Notamacropus eugenii: one gene and its partner. The protein of the gene in region 1 interacts with the protein of each later gene in a pairwise test. Links are inferred from orthologs where the notes say so. Each region holds a gene or a part of one and is shown on either strand. Other genes may lie near its edges.

Region 1 (16,164 bases):
GATAGCTGATCTAAATTCATGTTTTAAAATTTTTATTTCTCTTTTGACCCATTCTAGAATATTTTGCTGCTATTCTATCATCTCCGAAGAATAAGCAGGATTTTCTCTTCCATTGTAATTTTGTTTCTATTCCTTATGATATAATACTTGTTTGTGGTGTTTTAGACTCTTCTTTTAAAAACAAACCAACTAATCTCATTCTTTCTATTTTTAGGTTCCTCTCCTCTCTGTTGGTTTCTCTCCCAGTAAACTAGATTTTTATTTAGGTTTTCTCTCTTAAACTTCTATATTTCTACCTTTCTCATATATTCCCTATAACTTACCTCTAGTTTTCTTCCTCACTCTTTGACCTTTCTTCTTTCCACTGTTACATAATTCTTCAAAGTAGACTGGCTAGGTGTCCTCAGTCACCTTACACTGGGGAATATGGATTCAATTGGCCCAAGTTTTTTCTCAGAGTGAACGCTGGAGAAGAGAACTAGTCCCAGCTGGATTTCTAATACACTTTTCTTCCAGCTTCAAGATCTTTCCCTGTTAGCCTGTGACTACATAGCCTATGTTTTCACATTCTGCCTTTATTTTCTGCCCTGTCTGTATCTTCTGTACTACTCCATACTCTCACCCAATAAACTCTCCTTTTTCTTGGAGTGGCTAGGCAGAATCAGTGTGTTCTAGCTCTTTTGGAATGACAGGAAAAGAGGGGAGGGGTTCAGGCTGTCATTGCAATGTGGGAAGGGCAGCTAGGTGGTGCAGTGGATAGAGCACCAGTGCAGGAGTCAGGAGTACCTGAGTTTAAATCTCATCTCAGACACTTGACACTCACTAGCTGTGTGACCTTGGGCAAGTCACTTAACCCCAATTGCCTCATCCTGGGTAATTTCCAGTCATCCTGATGAATATTTGGTCACTGGATTCAGATGGCTCTGGAGGAGAAATGAGGCTGGTGACCTGCACAGCCCCCCTCACTCAAGACAAAGTCAAGTGCAAGTCATATCAATATTTCTCTGATGGCATGGTCTTCTTTGGCAACAAAAGACGAACACAAATGCAGTGTGGGAAACAGATAAGGGTCCTTACTGCTAGACCCTGAATTGGAAGCCTACAAATTTGCTTGTATTAACTGATCCCAGCCTGTAGGAGAGGTTGGAAATAAGAACGAGACCTTTAAATAGTAAAGCTCTCCAGCGTTATTTCATGAGATTTTTACTTTATACAGGTTGCTATCCACTTACCTTGTAGATTCAGTTGTAATTACTCTACATTTAGTGCATAATTCTTTTTTTAGAGGTTGCTGGCTTGCTGGGATTAAGGAAAAGTCATCACTCTGCCATCTTGCTTGGTAACATGATCTCTTAAATTTGTATGCCCCTCTAAAATAGAGGAGAGCTATGTTGTTTGGGAGTGAGGGTGGGAGTGACTGGTCATACATGGAAGGATCAGATGACCTAGGGTACATGAGACTGAATGACAGCTTTAAAAAAACAACAAACTGGCTCCATCTTCCACGTGACAGCACTTGAGACATTTGAGAACACTGATCCCGACCATCCTAATTCTTCACTTGGCTACACACTTCAGTTCCTTCTATTGTTCCTCATGGAGTATGACTTTGTAGCTCTTGTGTGGTGGGAGTATGGGATTTCAGGTACACTTGGGGACAACCACAGAAGCTCAACCACTTTCCACTGTTGGCTCATTCCATCATTAATTCTCTCTCTGAGTTCAAAGGCAGTCTAATAGGCAGACTTTAGAACATTCTCAGAAATTACCAAATTTGCAGAAGCTCTTTCTCTAACTGACCTGTCCCTCACCCCAGAGTAAAGCTGAGGAAATCTCTTGTTCCATAGTATAGTTTCCCCTCTTTCCATTTTAGATCATAAACTTATTAAAAAACTATTGTTAATGACCATGTAAATTATTAGCAGTATCAAGTAACATAAAGTACAAATTAACATTCAAACAAGGAATTTAGAAGACTAATATGTGATAGGTCTCATAGCCAAGGTCATTTGTTTTCCCCTAACTACAAATCCTAGTCATTTTGAGAAGGTTTCCAAAGAAAGGGATTGAGATCTAAATTCTGGGTGAAAATTTGCCTCAGTGTTGTGCTCCAGCAAAGCAGGGACAGAAAGGAGCTGTTCACTGGACTTTACTCTGACTACCAAACTACCACAATGGTCACAACTGCTTGTTTAGACCAAGTCTCAGCTTCAGTTCACTCTTACTACATGCTTGTTATCTTTGTGTTTGCTCTCTGGTCTGAACACTCTCACTTCCTTGCCTCCAATGCCTGTCTGTTACCCCCAGACTTGGGCAAAGTCCCTTCCTCAAGGCCACTGGAATCCCCAAACAAAATGAAGATTCCTGAAAGTCTGTGGAATAGTGTAGCCCAAGGATTCTCTATACCAGAAAGGTCCATCAAAGTGCCTGGCATCCTGGGCAAGCCCTCTGGTCTGTGTAAATCTGGGACTTACATCCTTGTTTTCTCTCAGACCCACGATAGAATGGATGGGAGATCACTTTGTAAAGTAGATAGCACTGGAGGGCTGTTTTTCTCAGTTGTTCATCACTGCATTGTATATGCACGGAGTTCACTTGACTCTGCTTCTCTAAGTAGGGGAAAGAACCCTGCAGTCAGGAGACCTGTGTTAAAATCCCATTTCCAACGCGGACCAACCATTTGTCCTATCTCACCACCAGGTGGCAGCAAATCAAGAGTTAATGCCTTGGGAGCTGGGGCCATTAACCCCTTCCTACCTGTTATCAACTATGGACCTGGATGTTCCATGGGGAAAGAAATGAGGCAAGAACAGGAAGACCTAACAGAGGTTAGGAAACACTAAGCCTCAGTCAAAAAGGGATGAGCCTGAAGTCAGAGAGTTGGTCAGTTGAAATGGAAGTCAGGCAATAGCAAACGCAGCTTGTAACCTTGAAAACAGTTGCTCACCTTTTTATATCACTTTTAAAGTTTGCAAAGTTTCTTTCTTACAATAACCTTGTTAAGTTATGAAGGAAAGAGTACTGGCTTTGAAGTCAGAAGACCTAGGTTCAAACCCAACCTTTAAAGTGTATGCTGCATCTATTTTAAAAAAAGTCCATCCATACCAGTATGTAGTTACAGAAATTTATTTTTATTAATGTGTTTTGTTTTTATATCACATTTATTTCTGGAAGTGTTTCCCTTCACTCTTATACCCAGAGAGCCCACCCTTATTTCTAGATTTTTTGCAAAGCATTTGAGAAAGTTTCTTGTGTTATCTTTTTGGGGAAAATGGAGAAATGTGGGCAAAATGGTATTTAGAATTGAAGATTAGTTTAGTATATTGGGTTAAATCAAAGAAGATAAAATTTAATTGGAATTAGTGTAAAGTCTTACACTTGGGTTCCAAAAATTCACATGGTATACTCCAGATTGATTGAGTGACTGGAATCCAGGAATAGGCATTTATGGTTTGATTTAAGCCTCCTAGAAGGTGCCACAGGGATCTGTAATTGAGCCCATTTTTATGAATGACTTTAATAAAGGCATAAAATCATATCCTCATCCCATTTGTTGATACAACAAAGGTGAGAGAAATAGCTTACACACTACTCAGAGAGTCAGGATCCAAAAAAATTTTGACAGTCTACTTACTGTCACTGTCATGCAAGGCACTGACCAAATCTAGTAAGACAAGATTTAATAGGAATAAATATAAAGCCCTTCTTTTGGACCCCGAAAATCTATTTTACAAGCATGAGTTGGGAGGCAGGGGATGAAACACACTTGGCTTGACAGCAGTTTGTCTGATCCAGAAATTTTATTGGACTTCAATGAGGGTGAACACTGTGATATAGCAGATGAGAAAGCTAATGGCATTTTGGCTACATTAAGGGAGATGTAGGAAGGTGATTAATAGTCTCATTACACTGCTCTCAGAGCTAACAAAAAACTGAGAACTCATCCAATCTAATATCCTCATTTCACAGAGAAACAGGGAAAATGACTTGCCTAAGGTCATCCAGTATATTAGTGATGGACCCTAGATGAAGATCCAGGGCCCTGGGATGAACCCTGACCCCTCTCCAGAACTCTTTCCCTTGCCTTACCCTGCTTTGCTTCTCCTAATATTACCAATTAAACTGCCTCAGTTACATACTTTCCTTCTAACTCAATACACTCATGCATAATTCCACAGAATTTATTAACTGATGCTGAGTGGAGTAAACAGAACCAGGAGAATACTCTACATGGTAACAGCAATGTTTTGACATGATCAACTATAACAGGCTTAAATCTTCTCAGCAATGCAAGGATGCAAGACAATTCCAAAAGACTCATGATGGAAAATGCCATCCACAACCCAGAGAAAGAGCTATGAAGTCTGAATGAAGATCAAAGCAGACTGTTATTCTTTTTTTATTTTTTTCTCATGGTTTTTCCCTTGGGTTCTAATTCTTCTTTACAACATGACTGATGTGGAAATATATTTAATATGATTGTACATGTATGGCCTATATAAGATTGCATCCCATCTTGGGGAGGGGGTGAGGAAGGAGAGAGAGAAAAGTTAAAACTTAAAATCTTATAAAAGTGAATGTTGAAAACGAAAAATAAATAAATTATAAAGATTAGTTCTCTCCCTAATGCAACACAGCAATGAGAGGTTGAATTTGAAAGGACAACAAAAAATTCACTGACACTTTGGTGTCCTATTCTGGTGTTCAAGAGGCCTGACTTGGGAATCTGGAAGCTTGGTTTTTGGTACAATACAACACACATTAAGTGAGTACCTGTTATATGCAAGGAAGGCAGCTGGAGTCTAGTCCTTAGTGAATGGGAAACTGGCTTTTGGAGTCAGGAAGATCTGATCAGTGATCTAGGCAATTCTGTAAGCCTTCAGAGCTGTGTGAATGGTCAAGGGAGTATCTGCTTCTGGGGGGCTCTATATAGCAATAAAATTACAGGTCCAGTTCTTATCTGAGCTACATGCAAGGCCCTGTGCTAGGTATTGGGGAAATAAAGATGTGTGGGACATAGGTCTTGTTTGCAATCTGATATAGCTATGATAAGAATTAGGAATTCAAAAAGGACCCACATGGACAAAAATATTTATAGCAGCTCTTTTTGTGGTGGCAAAGAATCAGAAATTCAGGGGATGCCCATCAATTGGAGAAAGGCTGAACAAGATGTGGTATATGAATGTAATGGAGTACTATTGTGCTATAAGAAATGATGAGTAGGTGGACTTCAGAAAATCCTGGGAAGACTTATGTGAACTGATGCTGAGTGAAGTGAGCAGAACCAGGAGGACATTGTACAAAGTAACGGTTACACTGTGTGACGACCAGCTTTGACAGACTTAACCCTTCTTAGCAATGTAAGGATCTAAGACAACTCCAAAAGACACAGGAGAGAAAATGTTACCCACATCCAGAGAAAGAACTAGGGAGTCTGAATGCAGATTGAAGCATAATATTTGCTCTCTTTTTTTTGTTTCTTCTTTCTTGTGGCTCCTCCCATTGGTTCTAATTCTTCTTTACAACATGATTAATGTGAAAATATGAAATGTATAAGTAGAGCCTATATCATATGGCATGCCATCTTGTGGTGGGAGGAAGGGAAAGAAATTTAGAACTCAAAATCTTATGGAAGTGAATATTGAAAACTAAAAATAAATAAATAAACAAATAAGCAAATAAATATTTTTTAAAAAGAATTTTAAAAAATTAGAAATTCACTAATGCTGAGGGTTTATAGGGCAGCTGGGTGGTGCATGGGGCCTGGAAGGGGTCAGGACCACTTGATTCAAATCCTGGCCTCAGACACACTTACTAGCTGTGTGACCCTGGGCAAGTCACTTAACCCTTATTTACCTCACTTTCCTCATCTGTAAAATAGCTGGAGAAGGAAATGATAAAGCACTCCAGCATCTTTTCCAGGAAAACCCCAAACAGAGTCATGAAGAGTGGGACACAACTGAAATGACTGAACAAGTGCCAAGGGGGGTTTTCAATCCCTTCGTGAGCCTGTGGATGATGCTACAGGTGAATGAGATTTTTAGAAATATCATCAAGTACTGGGGCTCCAAACACTAATGCCTGGAGAAGCTATTCTAGCTCTTTCAGTTCTTACTTAGCCTGGATGCTCCCCACTGGCAATTTCTCATTTGGTCTCCATACCCAGAACACATGAGAAGCTGGAGGTGTCCCTGACAGGTGACCACCTCGGTAAGTAACTTGGAGCATTCTTGCCTCCCTGAGCCTCAGTGTCCCCATCTCTAATATGGGACAACAACCTTGATCTTGAAGTCAAAAGATCTGAGTTCAAGTGGAGTCCTGACACTGACAATTGCTAGTTATGCGATCTTGAGTCAATCAGTTTCCCTGCTGAACCTCAATTCCTCAGGAATTGGACTAGGTCAATGATTCCCAATCTTTTTAACTTTGAGAAATTTAATGGAAATCCCTCCAACATGATAATAATTGTAACTTTGATTCATCGAATCAGAAAATATACAATACACAAAGAGCTACAATGAATTCAATGACATGTTTCAGTGAATTTGTATTTTATTAATCACAACAGTATCTACATATGTTTGAGAGATGGCAATAGATACAAGTGTGAGTCATTGTTTGTTCAATCTAAAGAAGGTCTGCTTGTTTATTAATTATCCTTATCAAACTTGCAGAGGAAACAAAGCTAGTGGGCAATATAATAGTTAATAAAAATCAGGTGGTGCAGTGGGTAGAGCACTGGGCCTCAAGACAGGAAGTTCTGAGTTCAAATTCAGCTACAAATACTAGACTAGGGCAAGTCTCTTAATCTCTACCAGCCTCAGTTTTCTCATCTGTGAAAGGGGGAATGATAATAATGGTGTTAATCAGAATTAGGTAGATGTTCTTTTGCCCTTTTCAGAGATTTGAAATTTGGTTGAATTGAAGAATGCTTCAGTCCTAGGTCTGGTTCCACCTTCAGTGGACCCCTTTGCAATTACCCTGTGGTTTCCAAGGTTCTGTAGCCAGGACTTGGGGAAACAAGTGGCCCTTTCAGCTCTCAGTTCTGTAATTTGTAGAACAGGGGAATACTTACACTATCTTCCTCACAAGATAATTGAGGAAAACAGTTTATAAATCTGAAATCCTACAGAAACATTCCTACGTTGATGATGATGATGATGGTATATGTGTGAGTATGGGTAGAAAACTTCCAGCATAGATATTCTCTCCATGCAGATGAGCAATTCGGGGTGCCCGATACTTCCACTCTCTCAGGGGAAGTAATACTAACATAATACATATTTATTTGTTTTCTGATTCTTCATGACCCAGTTCAGGTCTTGGCAAAGATACTGGAGTAGTGTTGCCTTCTCCAGCTATTTTACAGATGAGGAACTGAGGCAAAAAAAGGTTAAGTGACTTGCTTAGGGTTACACGGCTAATAAGTTTCTGAGGGGAGATTTGAAGTCAAGTCTGTAGGCCCAGGGGCTCTTTCCACTGTACCGCCTAGCTGCCCAATAATAGCATAATGAAATATGTATTTCTCTTCTTGATCTAAAGGAAGGCTAGCAGAATCTTGGGTGATCTCCCTGAGAAATCATAGAAGGCCACAGACAAGAGTTAGACAGGACCAGAAGACATGGATGCCTTGCCACTTGTACCTTTGGAGGGAGTACCCCACCACAGATTCGTGGTGTGCTGGGACATCTTTAATAACTGGCTCTGTCCAAAAGATGCACAGGACTCACTTTTAAGCTTAATTTGCATTATTCGCATTTTCTCCATCACTTTTAAAAGTTTCAACAACTGAAAAATAAATCAACACCTGATTTCTAGCATTTGCCATTTTTCACTCTGAAAATTTAACAATCAGCTTTACCTCCAGCTTGTGCCAGCATGGAGGTCTTTCTCCATATCAGCTCTGCATTGATATCCCGCCCGCACTGTACCCTGATGGCCTTAGGCCCTCTTGCTCCACCTTCCTTTACCATATAAAGAGAGCCAAACACACAATGGCTGAGACCCATGTGAAATCTTGTCATACTTAGCTCGTTAAATACAAAATCTGCCATTAGTTAATTAACTCAATAAACTTTTATTAAGCACCTACTATGCGCCAGACACTGTGCTAAGTGCTGGGGATATAAAGAGGCAAAAGACAGTTTCTGCCCCCAAGGAATTTACAGTCTAATGAGGGGGACAACATGCAAACAAATATATAGGAAGCAAGCGACACACAGAATAAACAGGAAATATTTACGAGAAGGAAAGCACTGCTATTAGGAGGGGTTAGGGAAAGATACAACAAACACTATTATTACTGTATTTTGCCACTAATAAGCAATTCCCATTTCTACAGGCTTTAAGGTTTACAAAAATCTGTCGAGGTGGTGAGTGGACGCATTATCAGTCCCATTTTGTAGGTGAGGAAACTGCAGCACAGAGAGAAATGACTTGCCCAAGGTCACAGAGTCAGACAGAGTGGGCTTGTTTGCTCTCTCCTGCCTCCAAGGCCGGTCCTCTTTCCATTACATACACTTTAGGGGCTCTTCCACTGTCCGAAGAAGCACAGATCTGAGGGTGGGTGGCATCCACAGAGAGGAGCCCACAGGTCCCCAGGGTCCACCAGAGGAAGAGGTCAGGTTTGCAGAAGAGAGGCAGGGAGAGGGAGGGATGCCTGGGCAGTGACGTCACGTGCCAGCCGGGAGATTCCCCTGTCTCTTGCGTCACCCTCACATTACGTCACCCCAAGCAAGCCCTCTCCCTTCCCCCTACTCCCTGTGGGCTTCGCTCACGTGTGTCTGTCCAGTTTCCCTCCTCCCCTCGGCCCCTCCTCCTCCTTGACTTAGTCCACTTACTTCAGGGGAGAAATTGGGGGAAGGGAGGCTCAGTCCTGACGCCCGCAGCCTCCAATGGGAGAGGCTGGGAGTTCTGGGGACGGGAGGCGGCGGCCGGTGGAGATGGAAGGAGGGGTGTGAGAGGGAGGGGAGGGGAGGGGAGAGGAGGAGGAGGAGGAGGAGGAGGAGGAGAAGGACTGGGCTCTGGAGCAGCTGACAATAGAGACGGCTAGAGAGAGGAGGAGGGGGAGGACGGGCAGCGAAAGAGGCGGCAGAAGGTAGGGGCTGCATTGTGGACTCACCCCCTCTCCCTCCCTCCCGCCTGGGACCCCGTGGGGAGAAGGCAGCCGAGAAAGGCGGGCGGGGGAGAAGAAGGGGCCGTCCGGGCAGCTGGGGAGAGAGAGCGAGAAGCGGCGGAGGGGCGGGCAAGAGGGAGAGAGAGAAGGTGGGAGGGAGAGAGAGGAGGAGAGGAGAGAGGGAGTGTAGGGGAAGCCAGGGGGAAGAAGGGAGGCAGAGAGACCGAGAGCGAGGGAGCGATCGAGGCAGAGAGGGAGGGATCCAGGGAGCGAGGGAGCGATCGAGGCAGAGAGGGAGCGATCCAGGCAGAGAGGGAGCGATCCAGGGAGCGAGGGAGCGGTCACGCAGAGAGGAGGAAAGGACAGAAGCCGGGCTTGCTGCGGGAGCGGCCCCAGCAGCTGGAGGAGCGAGTCTGAGAAGGTGAGTCCCGCGGCAGCGATGGGCGTGCTCGGCTCGGGGGTTCAGCTTTGTGCCGGCCGCCACTTGAAGCCCAGGGTGGATTCGGGTGGGTGCGGGGAGCCGACGTCCTGGGCACGGGGTGTGTGTGGGGACTGTCCTGCCCCTTTCCTTGGAGGAGGACCCCCACTCTGCTCCGGGCTGCTCTCCCTTTCCCCGCCGTCCTCACCCGCAGCTCGGCAGCTCGGTGACTGGCGGGGGTGGGGGAGTCTTCTCCATCTCCGGACAAGTTCCCCCCAGGCTGAGGATGGGACCGGAGCTGGGGGAGGGGCGCCAGGTGAGTTGGCTGCGGACTAGACGGTGGGGATGGGGTGGTGGAGTGAAGCGGAGTTCGGACTGAAGGTAGAAAGTTTGGAGCATGGGCGGGTCGGGGGCAGGCTCGGCGGGGCAGCCACCCTTAACCCAGGTTCCCGGATCGGCTGCCCTGGGCTGGCCCAACAAAGACCGTCTGGCCCCTTGGGGTCCTTGCCCGGCGGCTAGCTCCGGCTGGGACGGAGTGTGGAGCCTGCGGGGGAGGGGCAGCAAAGCCCCGTGGGGGGCTGGGTCTGCCCTGGGGGTTGGGGAGCATCTTTTTGCTGGCTGCAGGGAGGGGGTGGGGGCGGGGAGTCGGGCGCAGGTACAGGTTTGGCGACTTCCTCCAACTTTGCTTTTCTTGAGTGACAGACTCTGCGATTCTGCGAGGTTTAATCCAATACGTTTGGACTCCCCTGAGTATTATCCATCAGTCAGTCAGCGAACAGTTACTAAATCCTTACTTTGTGCCAGGTGCTGTGCTAAGCGCTGAGGACAGAAAAAGAAGCAAAAGACAGCTGCTGCCCTCAGGGAACTCACAGTTTGATGGGGGAGACAAGAAGCAAATAAATGTGAACAAACAAGCGATAAGTAGGAAATCATCAGAAGAGAGGGGGGACTGGAATTAAGAGGGGCTGGCCAAGGTTTCCTGCAGAGGATGGGATTTTAGTTTGGACTGAAAAGAAGCCAGGAGAGCCCAGGGAAGCATGCTTTTTGCCGAAGTAACCCGGCTCAGGTAGGCCCAGGAGTCATCTCCTGGGGTAAGAGCGGAAAGGGGCCCCAGAACTAGCCTCCTCCCTTCACCGAGGTGGAAACTGTGGCCCATGGAGGTTCTAAGAAAGAAAGCACTGCTACCAAGTGGCTTAACTGGAATTAGAATCCAGACCCTCAGAGGCCAAACTCCACATCTTTTTGAGGGCTCCTCTTTGTCTTACAAAACCTAATCTAGTTTTTGCTTCAGTAAATATTTATTAAGTACTATATACGAAGTCCTGTATCAAGCCTTAGGATTCCCAGGGAGGGAAAACGTTCACTTTTCTGTCATCCCTTAAAATTGACTAAGAGCTTTCCTCACAAAAACCCTGTGATATGGAAACTAAGTTGTATTATCTCCATTTTACAGTTGAAGAAACTGAGGTGCAAACAGGTAAAAGTTATTTGTCTAGGGACTGGAATCCAGGTCTTCTGACCAGTGCCCTTTTCACTGTGCCTTGCAGATCCTAGAAGTGACAGGGTCCTTACCCTCAAGGAGAGGCAGCTTGGAGTCGGGGGATGTGGTGCTGAAGTTGGAGTCAGGAAGACCTGGATTCAGATCTACCTTCCTGTCTGTGTGATTATGAAGAAGTCATCTCACCTCTTTGAGCCTCATTTTTCTCATCTGTAAAATGGGACAATTTTAACCTGTCAAACCTACTTTACAGGGGATCAAGTGAAATAATGTAGGTGAAGGGCTTCAATTAAAATGTTATACAAATGGCAGTTATAAAATCTCATCTGCTAGGGGAGATACACCATGCATAGAATAATTCAAGCTATAAAGAAAGGACAAATCAGTCCACAAGTGAGCACCTACTATGTGCCAGGCACTGTGAATACAAAGACAAAAGCCATCCCTCCCCCCAAAGCAAAGGCCTTGCCTTCAAGGAGCTTAAATTTCTGCCAGGAGAAACAACCTGTATGTTTAAGTATACACACGTATATGTGTATGTATGTATGTATGTGTATATGTATACATATGTGTGTATATACATGTGTGTATATATGTGTATGTATATATACATACACATATATATGCATACACATAAACTATAAAGTTAGGAGAGGAAGAAGGCACTAAGAGCCTTTGGCAAGTATTTGCCAGGTGTTTAGTGATTCCAGGATGGGTGAGTAGGCAGAACACTCCAGGAATGGGGGAGAGCAGGTGCAAAGGCAGGAGATGGGATGTCATGAATAGGCCGTAACTGGCAAGCACCAGGAAAGGTGGGTTGGAGTCAGATTGTGAAGGACTCTAAATGCTAAACAGAGCATTTTTTTCTGGAAGCAATAGAGAGCACCTGGAAGTTTAAGTAGGGAAGTGCCTGGGGTCAGATCTGTGCTTTAAGAATACCATTTTGGCATCTGTGCAGAAGATGAGTTGGAGAGGGGAGAGACCAGTAAGGAGACCATTGTAATAATTTAGGAATGAGGTGATTAAGGCAATGAATTATGGTGGCAGCCATGTTAGTAAAGGGAAGGGGATGAATTCAAGAGATTGTGGAGGTAGCATCTCTAAGGGGACATTTAGGTGGCCCAGTGGATAGAGTTTGGAACCTGGAGTCAGGAAGACTCCTCTTGAAGAGTTCAAATTTGACTTACTAGCTATATGACCTTGGGCTACTCACTTAATCCTGTGTGCCTCAGTTTCCTTATTGGTTAAATGAGCTAAAGAAGAAAATGGCAAACCAGTCCAGTAATTCTGTCAAGAAAACCCCAAATGGGGTCACTAAGAGTCAGACAGGACTGAGCAACAACAACCACTAGCGTAAGACTGGCAGCTGATTAGATAGACATTGGTTGGGGGGGGAATGTGGGGAGCAGGAAGGGGAGGAAAGGCAGATTGGGAAGTTAAAGGTGAGTCCGGGGTTGCAAAGTTGGGTTTCTGTGGAAGGATAGCTGGGGTTCAAGGGCAGAGAGGAGGAGGAAGGCAATGAGTTCTCATTCGAGTATGTTGAATTTGAAATACTAATGAGACATCCAGTTCAAAAAGTCCACTAGACAGTGGATGATGTAGACCGGAGTTCAGGAGAGATTAATGCTGGATATGTAGATTTGGGAGTCCTTTGCATAGACATAATAGTTGAAGCATGACAGCTTTTAGTGCATCTTTTTGCCTGCCTTCATGTCCTGCTCTTAGGGTGGGTGCACCCCAGAGCAAGGGTGTAGTGGATAGAGTACTGGGCCTTGAATGAGGGGAACCAGAGTTCAAATGTGGCCTTTTACTAACTGAGTGACCCTGGGCCAGTCAACTTCTGTTTCAGTTTCCTCAACAGTAAAACAGGAATAATATATAAAGAAACCTAAATATGTATAAATCACTTAGAGTGGCAGACACAGTATATACTTAATAAATGCTTGTTTCCTTTGTTCCTAAGTTCTGTGTTGGGCCCTATTCTGAGTACTTTCCTTCCTATCCTGCCCTCAGGGGTGTGTGTGTGTCTGTGTCTGTGTGTGTGTGTCTGTGTGTGTGTCTGTGTGTATCTGTGTGGCTCTGTGTCTGTGTCTATGTTCATGAGCTAGTATAGGTGGTCATTAAGAGATGGTAATGAAATCCATGGGAATTGAAATAGTATAGAGGGGAAAAGAGGGCTGGAACAGACCCAATGGCCAAAGACCACCTTGGGGACACCTACCTTTGAGGCGGAACTGGAAAGAGGCTGAAAGAGGGGTCTAGGAGAAATCCCTTTCAGCTAGAAGGGGAAGGGTGGCAATCTGGGAAGGCTTCTTTTTGGAAGAGGCAACTGCCCCAGATCTTGAAGGGTTTGTTCTTGGCTAAGTTGGGGGAAATGGGACAGGGTGGGATGAGATTCAGGAACAGCAATTTCCCGAGGAGGCTACCTCACCCCTACTGAAGAACAGTCAATTAAATGTTTTTTGAATTGTGAAAAACATCAAGATGCTAAGAACTCAGGCTTTAATCTCAACTCTGCTCTATACACTGTCCTTATGACCCTTAGAGCCTCAGTCTCCTTCTCTGTAGAAAAAAGATCGCAATCTCCCCCCCTCTCCCCTTTCCCAAAGTTTCTCTTCTAGGCCTGGTGGGAGGATGGAATGAGATAATAGCTGGGTGTGGTCCCTGGGGTAGTGAAGTATGCAACACAGCTATCAAAAAGCTGAGGGAGGAGAGTAATCAGAATTATTTGATTTTCCTACTAAAAGGCAGCGTTCTTTCTGATACCCTCAGCTTGCATATTTTAACACTAAATATCACAGGGTAACTTTATGGTACAATATTAACACATAGGGAGATAGTCTGTATGGCTATGTGGTTATCGGATGTCTAGGTAGAGTGACTGGCTTCTATTTTTGTTTAACTGTCTGAAGAGCTACTTTCTTTCCTTTTTTCTCTGGAGGCAATGGGGGTTAAATGACTTGCCCAGGATCGCACAGCTATCAATGTCAGATTTTGGATTTGAACTCAGGTCCTCCTGATTCCAGGGCTGATGATCTATCTACTTCTACACCTAGCTGTGCCCCTTGTTTTATTTCTCGAACAGAGAGATGATGGTGCTGTAGTGGCAGGAGCAGGAAATCTAGCATGAGAAGACCTGGGTTTGAATCCTGACTGTCACTTATTGTTTGTATGACTTTGGTCGAGTCACTTTCTGTCTCTGGGCCTCAGTTTCCTCCCTTGTAAAATAAGGAGGATGAGCCTGATGATCCCTGAGATTTCTTCCAGACCAGATTCCAAGCGTCCTATGATAGCAAAGGAAAGAGTTTCTATTGTGGTCGTGTACACTAATTCAAAGTTAAGTTAACCAGTCAATGAATATTTATTTAATGTTAGAAGTAGGTGCTTATCTACTGCTTGCTACTCTCTGGGGATGCAATTAAGAAAAAAGAAGTCCCTACCCGCATGGAGTTTACAATTTAATGGATGAGACACTAGCAAACAAATGTACATGGAACCATGTATAACTGAGGGCAGGCACTAGAATTAAGAGGAGTTGGGAGAGGATTCCAGTAAAGGAAGGAAGCCAGGGAGGTCATTTGGTAGAGTGGAGGAGGGAGAGCATTCCAAGCACAAGAGATGGATGGAAGGTCTTGATTGGAGAACAGTCAGGAGGCCAGTATCTCTGGATCTGAGTACATGGCAGGGAGTAGGAGACTGGAAAGGTAGAAGGGGGCTAGATTATGAATGCCTTTGAGTGATAGGTGGAGGATTTTGTGTTTGATCCTGAAGGCAATAGGGAGTTGAGAGAGTTTATTGAATAGAAGTTGACTTTATTTTAGGAAGATCACAAAAGATGTGGCTGAATGGAGGATGGATTGCAGTGGAGAGACCCTGGAGGCAGTTAGATCCACCAGCAGGCTTTTGTAATAGTCCAGGTGTAAGGTGTTGAGGACCTACCTGCACCTGAGTCGGGACAGGGTCAGAGGACAGATGGGGGCAGATGTTGTTAAGATGAAATCAACAGGCCTTGGCAACAGCTTGGATATTGAGAAGATAGTGAGGAATTTAGAATGACTCCTAGGTTGTGAGCCTGTGAGACTTATAGGTTGGTGTTATCTTCATGTATTTTTCACTTGTATAATGCCTATTGTTTCTTGGATAGAGTGTAAACTCCTTGAGGGCAGTATCTGTTTCATTTCTGTCTTTGTATCTCCATTGTGTAACACACTCTAGGCACTTAAAAAATGCTTATTGGTTGATTGATACAGGATTTGAACTCAGGTTTCCTGACTCCGAATTTTACTAGGGAAAATTGCTATTCAAATACCCTAGAGAGGAACTATGCTTTGAGATCGTGCAACCCAGTTTTGAAAGCCTAGATAAGCACCCACGCTTTTGTGTTTGAGCCTCTGAGCCCAAAGCTACCTCCGCTTCTCCTGTGGTTTTTGCCTCTTTAGTGCTTCTGATGTTAATGCCATACAAGGACCTACTTGACTCCACACTGGGGCCAAGAGAAGCTCTACCGGATGCAGTCCTTTTAATACCTTCTGTCTCTTTTCTCTTTCACTTTTCTTTTGCATCTGATGAAACTTTCCACAGTTTCCACCCCCCCCCCCCCCTTACTTGGCTTCTCTCTCGAAGAGGTGTCCCATTCTTCCTGAGGCTGGAAGATATATTCTGGTCCTTTCTCTTTCTGAACCCCTAACCTCTCTTGTTAAGACTATATCATTTAGATAAATAATCTTTTTTCAGACACTGGATTGTCAGTGAAGGAGGTGGAAATAAAAATATGGGGAGAACCAACAACCTTACTTTCCCCCTTCCCAGCAATCTGTGCTGTTGGTTTTGTTAAATTTCACCTAACTTCATCCCCTTAAACCAGTAGGAACAGAAAAATTCCAACTTCTGTACAATAAAGACAGAACTTTGAAGTTCTTATAAAAAAGAAAGAAAAAAGAGACTTTTTGCCTCCTGCTTGTTTAGGACCATAAAATGTATGAACTGGAACCAGGCGAAGTGCTGGAGGCAGCTCTTGTGGCTGCTGATTAAGTTTTCAGCGTGAGCATTTACTCCTCAGAAACTGGCAAATGCAGGCCCCCTCTTAATTTCATGCTTAAACTCTCGAAATAGTCTATTGGTAGGTCTGTCACC
Region 2 (16,561 bases), on another chromosome or scaffold:
TTCTGTCTGTGCTGGTGTGATCCATGCTGGGCTATGCTTTGCTCCAAGCCCAGTGCAATAAGTCCTTCCTATTGGCCTTCCAGATTGTCTTGAGCTAGAAATCTGTTTCACTGTGTCATTTTGTGGCTTCTGCTGCTCTAGAATTTATTTAGAGTAATTTTTACAGGTATTTTGAAGGGTTTGGGTGGAGGGCTCAGGTAGGTCCCTACTTCTACTCTGCCGTCTTCCAGTTTGCCCCTCTTTAGGTAGCCTGATGGCTGTCTGCTTCCCAGAGTTCACCATTTTAAGGCTGAACTTAGTTCAGACACTCAATTGGATTCATCCCTACTGTTACTCAGAATTACTACACTCAAACTATGTGCCAAATTTTAGACTTAAATATCTAAAATATAAAAGTTCTGTTACATTATGGAGAGAGTAAGATTTGAGTTGGTCAAGTATGTTCCTACAGTAAGTTTCCAAGTTAGATGACTTATGACAGAGAATCTCAAGTGCATGTTTAAGGAGAGAAGTCAATGTGGAAGAAAGGCAGACTTTGAAGTAAAACCAATTTTAAAATGCAGATCAATTAATATAGCTATTTAAGTAAGCAGTATATGAACTTTGGTTGGTAAGAATTTAGGTTACTTGAAAGAATCTAGCAAAAATTAAACTCAAAACAGAAATGAAACCAGATGAGGTTTGTATCATGCCTGACATTAATTGATTGAGGATTCTTCAATAGTGAAATATCTACCGAGAAATTCAAAGCTAGGGTAGTATGTGAAAAGATATATGACCTTGATAAAACTAGAAAATGCTTTGAAGTTCATATTGACAGCTTATACTCCCCTTGGAAGTGCATAGAGTTGCAGTCAGAGCTGTATATTGAGATCACACTTGGAGACCATATGGAAAACAGTTTCCACATCAGTCCATTTCTACTCAGTTTCATTGTCAGCCCTACTCTAGTTTGAAACCCAATGGGGTCAGAAAATTATTTTGTATAAATAAAATATTTTTGCATAAATAAAAACTAGGAGTTTCTTTTTTCTTTTAACTCTGTCTAAAGGCTCAGATTGTCTGGTGCTTTGGCAAATAGGTTTTGACTTTGAAATTAGTTTGCTCTTGGTAGAAATCTAGTGGATTCTTAAGGCTACCCTTTGCTTGCCTTCATCCACAGTGGAGTCACATTATTTGGTAGATTTTCCACTGCAGTACAGGTTCACAGGAGTTAGTGGGGACAGATGTAGCACCAGTAATGGGTACAAAGAGGTAATATTATCTTTTCCCTTTTAAAAGTAAAATTTAAAATAATTAATTATTGAAATTACTTTTGTACCATCTCTCCAACTTCATCATAACATAAGCAGAATTATAAATTTATACAACATATGAACTGGTTGATGGGTGAAACCTTATAAAGATATGTAGTGAGAAAGGATTACCAGGCAAGGCCCATAAGATTTCTCTTGCCTTGTTTTTTTTTAGCCTACTTCAGTATTGCTATTTGTATGGTATTTCTAGTTATCTATGCAGAACTTTTATTTATTACCCAATTAAAATTCTGATTCATTCTATGAAGACAGAACAAATTTGTTGGCAATCAAATTATTTCATAGCATACATGAACTTGTTTATATCTCCTATGGAATATTTTAAAGGAATTCTATTTTCTCTTAACTTAGACTGTGGGTGACACAACATTTAATCCCTTTTCAGTTAAACAAATGTTAATAAGGTGCTGGAGATCTCCTTAAGATGAGGAGCCCTACACCTAGCATCTACTCCACTCTGCCAACATCTCAATTTAGTTGAGGACTAATAGGATTTAGAAGGGTGGCACTGCTTGGTGATTTTTTTTTATCACTAAACTAGAAGTTTTCAGTGACCCAGAATATAGTGAACATTTGAACCGAAGATGATTTCATCAAAGAGAATCAATAAGTTGATCGCAATCAGAGAGTGAATATTGTTTCCAAGTCATTGAAACGTCTAACATTATTCTGTGATGAGGTAAAATATCTCGTATGACTTTGCATAAAGATTCATTCTCAGTCAGATCATAGGTGGGTAGAAATTGATATTGAAAGGAAAGAAGAATCTTTCTGGTATTCATTCATTCTATGAGTGACCTGGAAGTTTCCACTAAGTCTAACTAGATAAAGTGGGAGGGAAATGTGTGGATCAGAAATTTACTTTGGAAATTTATTTTACTTTGTATTATGTAGTGTATGGGTAATTAATAAATTCTAGTCATATTATTTCAGGTTTATGGAATGGATTATATATCTTGGCCTGCCAGCTTCTTCAACCACCTCCACCTTATAATCAAAGAATTAATTCATGTCTGACTCAAGTACAAAAACAGAAACCCTATACTTAGATAGTTTCCTTAGAAAATAAGAATGCTCCCCAGAGAAAGGGGTAGTTTTGGCCTCAGAATGAGAAGAGGCATTGGGAAGTTATGCAACTGCTAACAGATAGTTCCATAATTAAAATATCTTTCAAAATCCATTTTTAAAGGACATCTGAATTGGAGAGTCCATAGACTTCCCTATTTCCCTATGCACCCATTTTTCAGGTCTAATAATCACCACTAATAAAATCTTTCTAATGACTGACAGTCTATGTGTTCCACCTTATGCCCATTTCCTTCAGCATCTTTCATTCCATAATCACACACTCTCTTCCAGTTCACATTCTAAGTGAAGACATATGGGTGGTGGTAGGAGAAACATCTTTATTCTGGCATACAGGGGATAATGACATTTTAACGACAGTATTCATGGAATTATTTTCTCATCCCTACGGCAATGGCTTCAAATCCTTTTGGGTGACACCCTATTGTTTTCTGATTTTGTAATATCTTTCCATACTCCCAAATGTTGTATGGAATTTTGCTTTATAATTTAAAGTGAAGTTAATATTGTGCAAGAGTAGCTGAGTTTCCAAGATGAAATAAATTTCTGCTGCCATGAAGTTTACAGTCTAGTACTGGCAATCAGTGTCTCATGGGCTTTTGGTAGTATAAGACTATCTTTACAACTATACACTGCATTTCCTTCCCCATCATCATCATAGATCAAAGTTGTAGAATGAGAAGGAACCTTAGGGTTATCTAGTCCAAGCTCTCATTTTATGGATGAAGTCACTAACACATTAAGTTAAATAGCTTGTCCAAGGTGGCCAGAGGTGGGATTTGAAGTTGTCTCTTATACTTTAGATTTGTTAATTCTTTTTACTTGAGTTAGTGCCATTCGTTCACAAATATGCTTGAAAGTCTAACGTATTTTAAAGGAGACATATTTATTGAGCCTTATGTGTAACGGGGAAGCTAGGTGGCACAGTGGATAGAGTGTTGGGCCAAGAGTCATGAGAGCCTGAATTCAAGGATAGTATGTGACACTTACTAGTTCTATGACCTTAGGGAGGTCATTTCATCCTGTTTGCCTCAATTTGCTTATCTGTAAAATGAGCTGGAGAAGGATATGGCAAATCACTCAAGTATCTTTGCCAAGAAAACCCCAAAAGAGGTCACAAAGATTTGGACATTACTGAAAACAACTAAACAACAACAAAAGTTATGTGTAAGAAGCTGTGCTAGGTGCTATATATCATTTTAGAGGTGGACATGCTTTGTAGATGTGTAAACGAACAGTAACCAAACCCCTTCAGAAAGCCTAATATGACTATGCCATGCATAATAATATTATCATTAATTAATCTATATACCACTTTATAGTTTATAAATCACTTTTCAAATATTATTCTATCTTCATAGTTGCTATTATTATCATTCCTGTTTTACAGATGTGGAAACTGTGGCAGATGGAGGTGGATTTGCCCAGGGTCACATAACTAATAAGTGTCTGAGTCTGGATTTGAACTCAGGTCTCTCTGACTCCAGATACAGAGTTTCAAATCATTATAGATTCTATAGATAGGGCATAGGATCATTATATCCTAATGAAATGTAACCTTATATTTCTTTGCCCATTTCTACTTCTCAAAAGTATCTCTCTCTTTTTTGCCTCAGCTCCAGTTTATTTTGAAATATGGTTGGGATAGTAGCTTGGCATTTAGATATGATTTTTATAAAGACTGGAGTCTCTTTCCTCGGTGACTGGGTTCTTACTTTATTTTGTAGCTTTCCGGAAAAAAATTCTTATCATTTTGGGGTCTTCTTTGCAGCAGAAAGGAAGTTTGCCTCAGTTTAGTGGAGTCTGGAGTGTGAGTAACTTTCTATAGACACATGGCAAGGCTTAGGAACACAATTTGTTAAAATTACTTACATTATCAAGATGATAATGTACTTACTCTTTTCTGTATGCTATTCTTGTTAAAGTGTTTTTGGGGGTCATGCACAGTAACTATGCTTTCAGAAAGGGCTTAGAGGAAACATGAACAAAATTTGCTTTTAGGTTTTTGCAAACATAGCAAGAGTACTCTTGGAGAGTGGCCAGTTATTTTCACTGCGGCTTTGGGGAGATGGGACTGGGGAGGAATGTGTTGTTTTCATCTTCTGCATAATACAGACCATAAGTCACATAAATGGAGGTGGAGGAGGTGACTTAGGTGATTGTTTATTTCTAGAAAAGAGGGTACTTCCTATGGAAAGAGGGCTTCAGTTGGTCATGGAGCAAACTGAACAATTACTCAGGTTTCCTGTTGGCTATTTCCCTTTTACTAAACCTGACCCAAAGCCAAGGTGCACATAGATAAATTTTTTCCTATTGCAAAATCCCAAATCTCCGAAAAGATGTGATCATGAGAATATTGTTCAGAAATAGCATCTTAAGGAATACAGTTTGAAGGTTTTTTGCTAATCTGCTTTTGAAGGGTCTAATGAGATCTAAGGTTTCTCGAAGTTCTCAAATCCTAGATCCTATGATCTGCTACAGAATACTAAATCATGAGAATTAGTAAATGTCTGAATGTAAAAGTTTAAATAACATTGTAGTCATTTCTAATTCAATGGACTGTTCATACCCTCACTTCAGAACATCCTAGAAAGCATAAATCAGTTAAAACAATGACATTTTTGACTCAAGTAGTTCCAGAATATAGATTTAGAAGTGGAAGGAGTTTTAGATTAGAGATTGGAGCATTTAGATGAGAGATTGGAGGCCTACAGAAATTGAACACCTTGCCAAGGGCACACAGGAAGTAAGTGGCAGAACCAAAATCAGAATCTAGGACTTTCGGTTCTAAATCCAGTACTCTTTCCATTATACAACCTTGCACCTGACATCGCTTTGTAATTCTTTTATGCACTACACAGTATCTTGTGTTTAATAGATTGTCCATTATTTTGAATTGATCTGCTCTGCTTTTTCCCATTGGATATTCTAGGCTGTTATTGTAGGACCAATAGATTTAGATTTAGAAAGGACTTTGGGGACATCTAGTACAGTTGCTCAGAAGGCGAAATTAGGTTCCAGAGTTAAATGACTTGCTTAAGTCACTTTGGTAATAAAGGGCAGGGGCAAGAGTTGAACACAAGTCCTCTGACTTGAAAAGCAATGCTCTTTTTAATATGCCATGTGACTATTAATAAAAAAAAATTTCTTTTGCTTCAAGATATGTGGTAGTTAGATGATAACTATAAAAACCTTTTTATTCTTATCATACACCAATTCACATGACTGGGTTGCTGCTGGCTTTGATAAAAACATAAGCTCATTCAGTGATAGTGTTCATAAATTTTTGCATAACATCCACAGACACATTTGAATGATACAGTATATTATGGATATCATTTATAATATGGTTTAAAGTTTGCAAAGTTTTTTACACTCGCACATATATCACTTGAAAAAAAGTTGCTAGGTGAAGGTTTTAATGCAAAAGACAAAAGTTTTTTTGGGGGGTGTAGGTGTGTGAAATGCTGCCGAAATAATGTTGTTTTTAAAGGATCCCATTTAAAAACAAATGACCCTTCAAACTTATGGCTACAGCCTAAGAACTCAAAGGAGAATTTAGGTTAATTTTTCCATATACATATATATATATAGTTGCTTAAAATTTAAATAAAGTGACATAAATCGATTTACTAATGCTCCTTGGTTCATCAGACTAAAGAATCTGGCTTACTAACTTTCCTGACTCTCCTAACCATCCGAGAAGTAAGCCTGGTCTCTTTAACTCTACTTTGAGAATTTGTCTGTTTCCTTTCTCCTCTTCCTTAAAACTTGTCATCAGTTAGTTATTAAACAGAAGAGTGACTGAAATACACTTGTTTGAATAAAGAACATTTTCCCCCCTTTGCGATTATTTGAGCACAGTGATGGTCACTGTATATTTTCCGCAAGTCCCCCAAAGTTGTCCTTACCTGCGTAGTGGTCAAACACGGTAGGCACGTACTCCTCCGGGAAGGCGTCATTGGCGTAACTCATCAGTAAGCAGGTTTTCCCTACTGCACCATCTCCGACCACCACACACTTTAGGGGTTTTTTCACGTCCTCCTCGCTGGGGCAGCCACTTTGCCCTTGTTCCTCTTTGCAGTTCATTCTTATCTGGGGCTATTCCTGATTCTCCAAGTTCTTCTAGGAGCGCATGAAGAGAAACCCGAGTGAGCGCCCAGGTTTGTTTACCCTCACTTAGCTGGGTACTCTTGGCTCAGAATTAACATTTTCCAGGTTGCTGCTGTTTGCCCGCTCACTTTACCATGCTGGGAAAGAAAGGGAATGTCCACTTTTAAAGAAAAAAATATAATAGCTTGTCTTTCCCCTGTCGTTTGAATCAAGACACCCTCATTTTCCTAGAGATCTGGGTGTTTACTGTGATCTTGAAAGATAGAAGCCTGAAGCTTTCTCTCTTTCCTCTCTTTCTTCAACTTGGCTGGAGACACCAGGGATTTCTTCTAAATCCTTCCCATTTTCCATTTCACATCTAACATGGAGGAAAGCCGGGATTTTTTTTTTCAAATGGAGTTTTTCCTTTCTTTCTCCAGCTTGCTAAGTGTCAGGAAATCATGGGTTTCCTGCTGCATTCCATATTAGGATGAGTGGGTTGGTGAAGGGTTCCAAACAATGAGCAGTCTGTGTGTTTGTACTTCGGAGGACTGTGCCAGGACAGAGAATCAACACTAGAGGTCCCACTGTGGCCAGAAGTTGAGACACTTCCTCTTTCTTCCACTGCTGGAAGGGGACTGCTCACTCTGCTGGCTGAAAAGAAACTGATGAGAACAGGCAGGGTGGGGAGTGCCGTCTATACAAAAAACAAGGGAATCAGCTTAATTAAGCGTGAGAGAACCACACCATCCAGCATGAGATAAGAGATGACATCACCCCAGTACTGACTTATCCTGAAAAGCTTGGCAAGTTAAAAAGGGGCAGTTCTTTAGGCACTCAACTTAGAAACCTTAAACTTTTCCTCTCCCTTGCCATAAAGAAGAAAACTCTCTAGGGATGTAAATGTTTTGAAGGAAAACTTCATTTTCCCCTCCAGTAGTGTGTGTGTGTGTGTGTGTGTGTGTGTGTGTGTGTGTGTGTGTGTGTGTGTGTGTGTATGTAAACCAACTTTATAAATTGCCACACTCGCTTTAGAAATTAAAACATCTTACAGATATAAAGTTTTATAATCACACATATGAAATAGATCATTCAGCTGAACTCATCTGAAAAGTAGTTGGCATTTACTTCTCCTTATTAGTGAATAATGAACATGTGTGTCATGCTCATTTAACACATTTGGAAAGTGGGTTTTGGATCATTTCAAATTTCACATGTTAAGATTTTGCTTTGGCACATTGATTCTGGATACAGTTAGATACAATAAACATTTATTTAGTGCAGGAGCCGTGCTAAATGTTAGGGAAGAGAAAAATGAAAAGGAAACATTTCCTGACCTCGACGAGATTATATTCCTTCAGCACACATTGATAGTCAAATGCAAAACATGTGCAAAATAAATATAAAGTTATTTTGGGGGGCAGTGGGATACAATCTTAACAACTAGGGGTGAGGAAAGGGATCAGGAAAGACTTTATAGGACCTAGCATTTGCCTGGCACATAGTAGGCACTTAATAACTGTTAATTGATTGAAAGGACCAAGGACTAGAGAGGAGAAGGAAGAGCATTTTGACCATGGGAAACAGTCAATGTAATGCACATTTAGAAGATGGAATGTCTCATTTAGGGAACCATAAGTTGGCCGATTTTGCTGGAACAGAGAGTTCATGAGGGGAAAATGTGTGAAATCATTTTCTGAAGACAGATTGAGAGTAGATCGTAAAGGGCTTTAAATGCCGCAAGAGTTTGTATTTGAGTCTAGAAAAAACAGGGAGTCACTGGAACTTTTTGAGCAGGGGAGTGATACATGCTTTAGGATTGTCAATTTGTCAACCATGTGGAGGATGGATTAGAGAAAGAAGAAACTGAAGGCAAGGAGACCAGTTAGGAGAATATTGTGGGAGGTGATGAGGGCTTGAACTGGGGTAGTGGTTACTCAAAGGGAGAAAAGGGAATGAATGTGGAAATGCTGTGGAGGTTGTATCAGCATGATTGAGGGGAGGTGGGTATGAGTAAAGAGAATAGGATGACTCCAGGGTTGTTAACCTCAACATCTGGAATGAAACTTGTACCCTTACCAGGAACAGGGAATTTAGGAGGTGAATAAATTTGGGGTAAAAAATAATGAGTTTGAGATGTCAATGGGACATCCAGGTGAAGATTGGAGAGCTCACACCACCAACTCCAACACAGAGTTGGTGATATGAGCCTGAAGCTCAGGAGAAAGACTAGGGCAGGATATGTCAACTTTGGAGATGCACAGAGATGATATTTGAATCCATGGAACCAGTGAGATAGAGAGATAGAGACAGAGAGGGAGAGAGAACAGAGACTCAGAGAGATAGACATGGAGAGACACAGACACAGAGACAAAAGGAGAGCGAGGGAGAGAGAGGGAGGGAGGGAGAGAAAGAAAGAGAGGGAGAGGGAGAGGGAGAGAGAGAGAGAGAGAGAGAGAGAGAGAGAGAGAGAGAGAGAGAGAGAGAGAGAGAGAGAGAGAGAGAGAGAGAGAGAGAGAATAGATATGGATGAGGATCCAGCCAAGAAAACTGAGCAGCCATGGTCAATGAAGAGCCAGGATTGAGCAGTATTATTAAAACTCAGGAAGGAGTATCCTTCAGTGTAATGTTGCAGAGATATCAAAAAGTATGTGGACTAACAAAAGGTAATTGTATTCGGCAATTAAAAGATCATTCATTGGTAACCTTGGATCACATCTGCACAACTTGGAAATAGGTAGGGACTAAAATTAAAAATAGACTAGTAGTGGCTCACTTTCCAAGTAAAGGTATAATTAATAATTGAACTATTTTGCAAATAGACCATATTAAAAAGGGAAATTTCAATTAATATCAATAAATTATACTTATTAAGGTTTTTATTTATCATGAAATCACTTCTCTTAGACAAGAGACAGATTAAGGATGGTTGGTTACTGTGGATCACATGACAAACAGGAGAAAGTGCACAGTGGCAACCCGCCTGCCATGTTACATGACAGACACAGGAGTGACTAGTGGAAGGTGGGTTAAGCAAGGCACAGACAAAGCACTTGTTATATCTTTATTTTCTTTGACATCCTCTACATTTTTGTAGGCCATGGAAATACTTTGGTGGAAGCCCATGGGGTGTATGTTGCACAGACCTGCCTTAGAGAAAGCTGTTTCAGTAAAGTGGTGAGGATGGAAATCAAATTATAAGGATTTAATCTTCTCTTCAGGTGAACCTGGGCCTCTACTACTCCTGAACAAATTGGTAGTTCATGTGGAGATCTGCTGGAGTTTGCTAAATGATGCCTCCTTTCTCTCAACATGCAGCTAATGTGCTTGATCTCATGTGGGAAAATAAATAGAACTCACAGGATGACTTCAGAAAAGAGTTCAGATATCTTATCATTCTGTACTTTTATTTGAAATTTAATTTTTAATTTAGATTTTCTTTTAGGTTCATGTATAAATTATAAATACATTTGTATGCATATATGTATGTACAAAGATATGTATATGTGTTCTTGTTAGAACCTATAAATACTCTTTTTTTTTCCTGGTTTTGGTATCATACTGTGGAAGAAACTATGACAAATAGCAAAGCATTATACACTTGTTAATATTTTGGCCTGAAAAGGTCAGCATGCTGATTTATGAGGTTCTCTTTAGACTGAATTATGTGTACCATTTCAACATTAATCTTTTGGAGTTAATCTTTAGTCACTATAATAGCAATTTTCTTTAAGAGAATGATAGGGAATATGATTGTTACTAAGCTAGCTTACTTTAAAAACCAGAAGAATAACTAATTAGTCAGACTTCCTTTACCCAAAGATAGCTAGGTGGCACAGTAGATAGAGTGTCAGGCCTGAAGTCAGGAAGACTTATCTTCATGAGTTCAAATCTGGCCTCAGACACTCACTAACTGTGTGACCTGGAGCAAGTCACTTAACCATGTTGGTCTCAGTTTCCTCATCTGTCAAATGAGATGGAGAAGGAAATGCAGAACCAATCCAGTATCTTTGCCAAGAAAAACCCAAATGGGGTCATGAAGAGTTGGACATGACTGAAAGAACTGAACAACACTGGAAATAATACTCAGGGTCACTTATTAACATATCATGGAACAGGTGACTGCTTTATTTTCCTCTTAGCACAGTGAGGACAGTTGTTATGACTTATATCTTGTACTCATAGTTGTCCTCCAAAATTATTTGTTTTTTCATGTCATACACAATGATGAGGCTGTCTGACCTGTTTCACTTTATACATACTTGCCTAGGTTGTGAGAGAAGTTGTAGTTGCAGTTTTTCTGGGGTTTCAGAGGAATCAGTTTCCTTAGTGACTTCTCTCTCTGAGTTTTGGCTTCATTTGAACCTCTCCAAACACCTATCATATATTTTTGCCTGGAATACTAATCACCTCATAGTTGCTTCCAGTTTTGATAGGATGCCACTAGAGGTGACATACTACCCTTTTGTCTTCTGCTTCTGCACTTGCGTTCAAAAGTCTGACACAGAAGTCAGACAGCTGGCATAGATGTTCACATTCTTCTTCAATTTCTCTCTTCAAGGGGCTTCTCTGGGTTCAGACTCAGTGATATTGGCCCATTTCTAGATACCAAAAGGGTGGGTATCACAGAGAAGTAGATTTGGGCCAAAGCAATTGTGTTCCTTGTAATACTTCATAGACCCATTGGTGTACCCTACAGTAGGCCTGAAGCTCAAATTTAGCTGTGAATCTTCTTTTTTAGACATATAATGGGAAACCCAAATTGGACCTAAGTCATCCTTCTGGGGGTCAAATTTCACTCAAATATATTTTTTCTGTGACATCAAATTACCTGCACTCAATAAAAAATTGAATACCTTTGCTCTGATATGTCTAGACTCAGAAAAAATCTTTGTTGTTTTAGTTCTGATTGGAATGACCTGCAGTTTACTTATGATGCCACCAGTATACTGTAGAGAATTGTTTGTTGTCCTTCATTCTCAAAGAGGATCAAAATGACATCACTATGCTAGAGTCAAGTTTCAATGTGTCTGGCTGTGGCTGATCAGACAAATATGAGCTCAGAATGCTTTATCACAGATTGGATACAAATAGTCTGTGTGAACATTTGGGGTGGATACTCTAAATTTCCTTTGAGCTGTTTCAATTCTGCTTTGCTCATAGAGCACAGCATCTTCTCTGATGTGGGCATGCCATGCTAAAGGGTCCTGTGCCAGTGTCTCCCATGTCACACAATTCCAAAGTTCTTAAGAGACACCTTGAGAGTGTCCTTGTATCACTTCTTCTGACCACCATGTGAACCCTTGCCCTGTCTGAGTTCTCCATAAAATAGTCTTTTTGGCAATCATATATTTTGCATTCAAACAACATGGCCAGCACATCAGAGTTGTGCTCTCTGAAGCAGAGTTTGAATGCTTGACATTTTAGTTCAAGTAAGGACCTCATGGAAGCAATTTATTTTCCTAGCATGGTGCTGGTAAACTGTCCATGTTTCACAAGCATATAACAATGAGGTCAGCACAACGGCTCTGTAGACCTTCAGTTTGTTAGTCAGTCTAATACCTCTTTTTTCTCATCCTTTCCTTTATAGCCTCTCAAACACTGTGCTAGCTGTGGCAATACGTGCTTCAACGTCATTATCAATATGTACATCCCTAGAAAGTACACTGCCAAGGTAAGTGAATTTAGCCACCATATTCAAAACTTTTCACTTTGTTGTCACCAATGGTTCCACATATGGACAGTTTGGTGGTGGCTGATGGAGCACCTATGTTTTCTTGCTGTAAATTGTTAGGTCAAAATTAGCACGAGCTGTGATCAATTTCCTTCCCACTTTGACTTTTCATGTAGCCTTTGCAGAGACCTACAAGAGAACTGAAGCAAGTAGTGACAGTGAATATTATCAGAACATTGACTCTTCATCTTCAGAAATAGATACTGAAATATTTGACTGTGATGATTCTCTACTACCAGGAAAATGGAAGAATTATTTGAGGCAAATTTTATCTAAGGGACAGATGTGTTTTTGCTGAGTGAGTGGAATAGGAGATACATCTAATGAGTTACTCATGAGACCCATCTCTCCAACTCCTGGATGTTCTAGGAACAATGTCAGAAGATTACTTTGTAATGGATGATCACAGAAACAGTCCCCAGAGACCCACTGTACCATCACAGAATCCAGCAGCCTTATGTGTATCAATATTTTTCTTGTTTTTCATTTTCCAAGAGAACTAAAAACCTCACAGAATGAAAACTTTTATATGAATTGGATGTGAGGCTGAGTTGCACAAAATCATCAGCCTTACTCTCTCTTCCAGAGTCATCAAAATTCAGTGGCAAGACAAAGTCAGGAGGACTGGTGATGGCCTGGGATGCAGTGGATGACCTTAGCATTTTCCATGTCTGATCAAGTTCTAAGCACCTCATAATGCCTGCTTTAGCTGCCTTCATGGTCATTGGAGCTAATTGTTCTCATATACTCATTCTGCTGGGGAGGCTTCATATGTTTGGGGTAGATATGCACCTAACTCATCAATGGGATTTAGACCTATCAGTTTCCCTCCACTTGGTTTAGATTATCTGCCAAGATGATTTTGCTGGGGTGTGACTGCTGTGTAAGTTACAGCTTCTTGGAGTCACAGGTATGAGTTGGGTGACAGGTGGGTACCAAAGGTGAATAAGCAGCCCTGAAAGGGGCTTGGGAAGCCCTCACACCAGAGGTGCTAGTCCTATCTGAACACTCCATACATGCTAAATTTTTTTTTTAATGGTTCAAAGTGAACTGTTACATCATGATAAGAGTTCAAAGTGTCTTGGACTATTGATGCCACGGGTTCTCAGTATCAGACATTTGTAGGAGCTACTGCCAGATTCCTACTTCTGATGACTGAGGGAGAAGACTAATGAGAGGGGGAGAGAGAGAGAGAGAGAGAGAGAGAGAAAGAGAGAGAGAGAGAGACACAGAGAGAGAGAGAGAGAGAGAGAGAGAGAGAGCGAGAGAGAGCGCACTAGTCGATGAAAGTATTAAGAGACATACATCTATTTGATTTGATTTGTGGTCCATCTAACCTAGGGGAAACTGGAGAAGTGTTACACAAACAGCCAAATTGTAATATTAATGTTTATTTATGTAAATTTGCCTTGTATATTATTGTATCTACTCAAAGATTCATGTGGTAATTACTGTATATGTTTGCTCCTATGTTTGCTCATTGGCTGTACATCATATTTCCTCTATTTGCATGTCCATTGTTGTTTATATATGTTCTGTTATTATATAAACTTACTTATGATATTCATTTGCTTTTAATGTACATTTTCTGGTATGGATTTCTATGCATTTCTGGGGCATGTTCATGTCTTGCATATAGTTTAGACCTGTAGTCACTAAGAGAGATACCCAGGGTTTGAGATGAATATGCATAAGCATATAGCTGATTTTCTGTGACAGCAAATATTTAACTACAGGGAAAACATAGAGGAGTTGCTCTTTCACAGACCCAATCATAGAAAAGAGACCCAAGGTTTTATATTAAAGGTGCAGCCATGCATGCCAGATATTACTTTTATGAGGTAAAATAAGTGCATTGAACAGTTTAGAAAGAGAATGACACCATTATTTAAACAATGACTGGACACATATCTCTAGGTGACTTTTCAAAGACAGTGCAATAGTCTGACAATGAGTCAGTTTAGGGTGAAGTGCAGCTCCAAATGAGAATTGGAGAAGGGGAGGTTACATGAAACTGCATGACACTAGGAAAATGGAAGCATAGGCAGAGGTGGCTACCACAAGGAATGGGACCAGGATTATTATAGAAATGCCGTTCTGTGAACCGATCAGGCCTGAGGAGTGTTGGGACAGGTGTTGCTAAAATTCTTCTACTCTTGACTACAGAACCCCAAGGTGATAACTCTATGTCTATTATTTCATCCTGGATTGCCTCATGGAAGACTGAAACCTTTCCCTCTGAACATTGCGAAAATCTGTTTACATTTCTGAGTGTCCTTATTGGGCATATAGTTGGGAGGAGGTAATTGACAGAGAAACACCCTTAGAGAAGAGAAATAGATAGATGTAACACTGAAGTGATGCCATAGCACTATCTCTAAGGGGGGACTCAGAGCAACAACAGCAAAAATATAGAGAGAATAATGGATCCTTTTGTTACAACTTCCAAGAGCAGAGAAGGAGCATTTATACTGGGAAACCCATATTGATACTGAATCAGTAGTAGATGTGTATGGGAATCAAACAGGAAGGGTCAAACAACTTTACTTATCACCCCATCACTACTATAATAGTTTGTATCTTTAGCATTTTATAATTCATGAAATTCTTTGTATCCATAATTGAATTTGAGCGTCAGAATAACCCTAAAAATTGAATATCATTATTGCCATTTAACTTTTGAAGAAACTAAAGGCACAACACGTTAAATGACTTGCCCAAAGGTACAGTTTGGCAAAGGACAGAGCCAGAATTTGATTCCAACTGTTCTTTTTTCAAATCCAGTGCCATTTAGGTTGATTGTAGATTTAGAACTGCAAAGGACCTCATGCTGCTTCCTTAGCACCTTAAGATCTATGCTCTTTCTACTGAATCATTCTGTCTTCCCTTTCAGGGCACCACAATTGCTTTCTTGGCTAGATAGCTTTGCTAAAAAGATCAAAGTTCTGAATTTGCTCTTTGTGTAGCCTAACTCTATACCATGGTCAAAGATGGCACCATTAGTGACCTCACAAATGTGCCAATTCCAAGTCAATTTGCAAAATTCAACAGACTCTCGACATGAAAGACAGAACCAAACATTTGTCAGACACCAGAAAGCCAAATCCATCATAGTAATAAAGACATCTGTACACAATAACAATGTGGAGAATAATGCTATCCCCAAGCCTTCCTCTGTTAGGCTACCCACAAACCAGCTCCATTAAACAAATCACAAGCAGGCTCTCAAACAAAATCACAAACAAGCTCTTTCACTCTAGGCAGCAGCTATATCCTTCCTAGCTGTGACTGCTCTTATTACTAGCTTCCTCTGAGCTCTGCTCTAGCTTTACCTCTTTCTATTTCATTGGTTCAACAAACTCCTCCCACCACAGGATTCATATGGCTCAGACTTCCACTTGACCCAAGGAGGTCACATGGGTCCATTAATGAATGGGAAAGATCTTCTCGTTTAAATTACCATAGTACCAGTTAGGTGTGGATGCTTTGGGAGCCTAGTTACAGATCTGGGTCCAACCCATGTCTAAGATAGTCCTAACCAAATTCCCAGTATCCACCTGGGAAAGGGAGCAACACCCCCCTGGCTCATTGATGTGAAGGAATATGTCAAGCAGAGGTACCATACCAGCTTTGCACAAACAGCAGGGCATCTATGGTGGGGCAGGAATACAGTTACAGCAATTAAAGTAGAACACTTATATGTTGGCTCAAGGTGAGAAGGTGGAGAGTTGGGAACACTCTGCTGGCATGGATCCAGGATTTGGAGGAGGGCTTGAATGTGGGGCTTATAGTAGGATCAAGTTATCGGGTTTTGCTTGGCTGGGGGACCACTTATCATGAACCAGGTTCCTTAGTTCCCTTGGATCCTGTCTATGCATGCATGGCTCTTGTTTTAGTTACCAAGAAAGGGTAGAGGGAGAACTGAAAGTGATTCAGCCTGCAGCAGGATACAGTCAAGTAGGGTACAGTTCTGAGTGTCCATAGTAGCCCTTAATATCAGCTCTTAAAGAGCCAGAGTGTTTCTAAGATGGCATGGTCAGTAAAACCACAAAACCTGGTAAGTAAGATCATTGTAAGTACATCATTTATTACTTGGAAAAAAGCTCACTGAAAGATATGTTTATACTGAGGGTAGATCAGGGGTAGAATCAGCATATCTGGAAGGCTGTGATCAAAAACTGGGTTGTCTGACAGAAAAAAACAAACCAAGGTTATAGCAACAAAGAACCTGCTCCATTGAAGAGAGATACTGCTGCAGGTAGTTATAGTAGTTATCTTAGGCATAAATTTGAATCCTCCAGGGCACATAGACAACAACTATAGAAACAATTCC

What was found.
Region 2: the proteins of PAK1 (region 1) and RHOJ interact in binary tests that used the Homo sapiens proteins (3 or more experiments, as listed by UniProt). The link is inferred for Notamacropus eugenii from reciprocal best matches to the Homo sapiens genes PAK1 and RHOJ.

Annotation. Positions count from the first base shown.
Region 1 is NC_092876.1:125,962,703-125,978,866, forward strand, and holds the start of PAK1 (serine/threonine-protein kinase PAK 1), read left to right. Parts: upstream 1-8,983; 5' UTR 8,984-9,097; exon of another isoform or gene 9,098-9,536; intron 9,537-16,164. UniProt on the Homo sapiens protein: Protein kinase involved in intracellular signaling pathways downstream of integrins and receptor-type kinases that plays an important role in cytoskeleton dynamics, in cell adhesion, migration, proliferation, apoptosis, mitosis, and in vesicle-mediated transport processes.
Region 2 is NC_092872.1:307,058,043-307,074,603, reverse strand, and holds the start of RHOJ (rho-related GTP-binding protein RhoJ), read right to left. Parts: upstream 6,974-16,561; 5' UTR 6,492-6,973; coding exon 6,314-6,491; intron 1-6,313.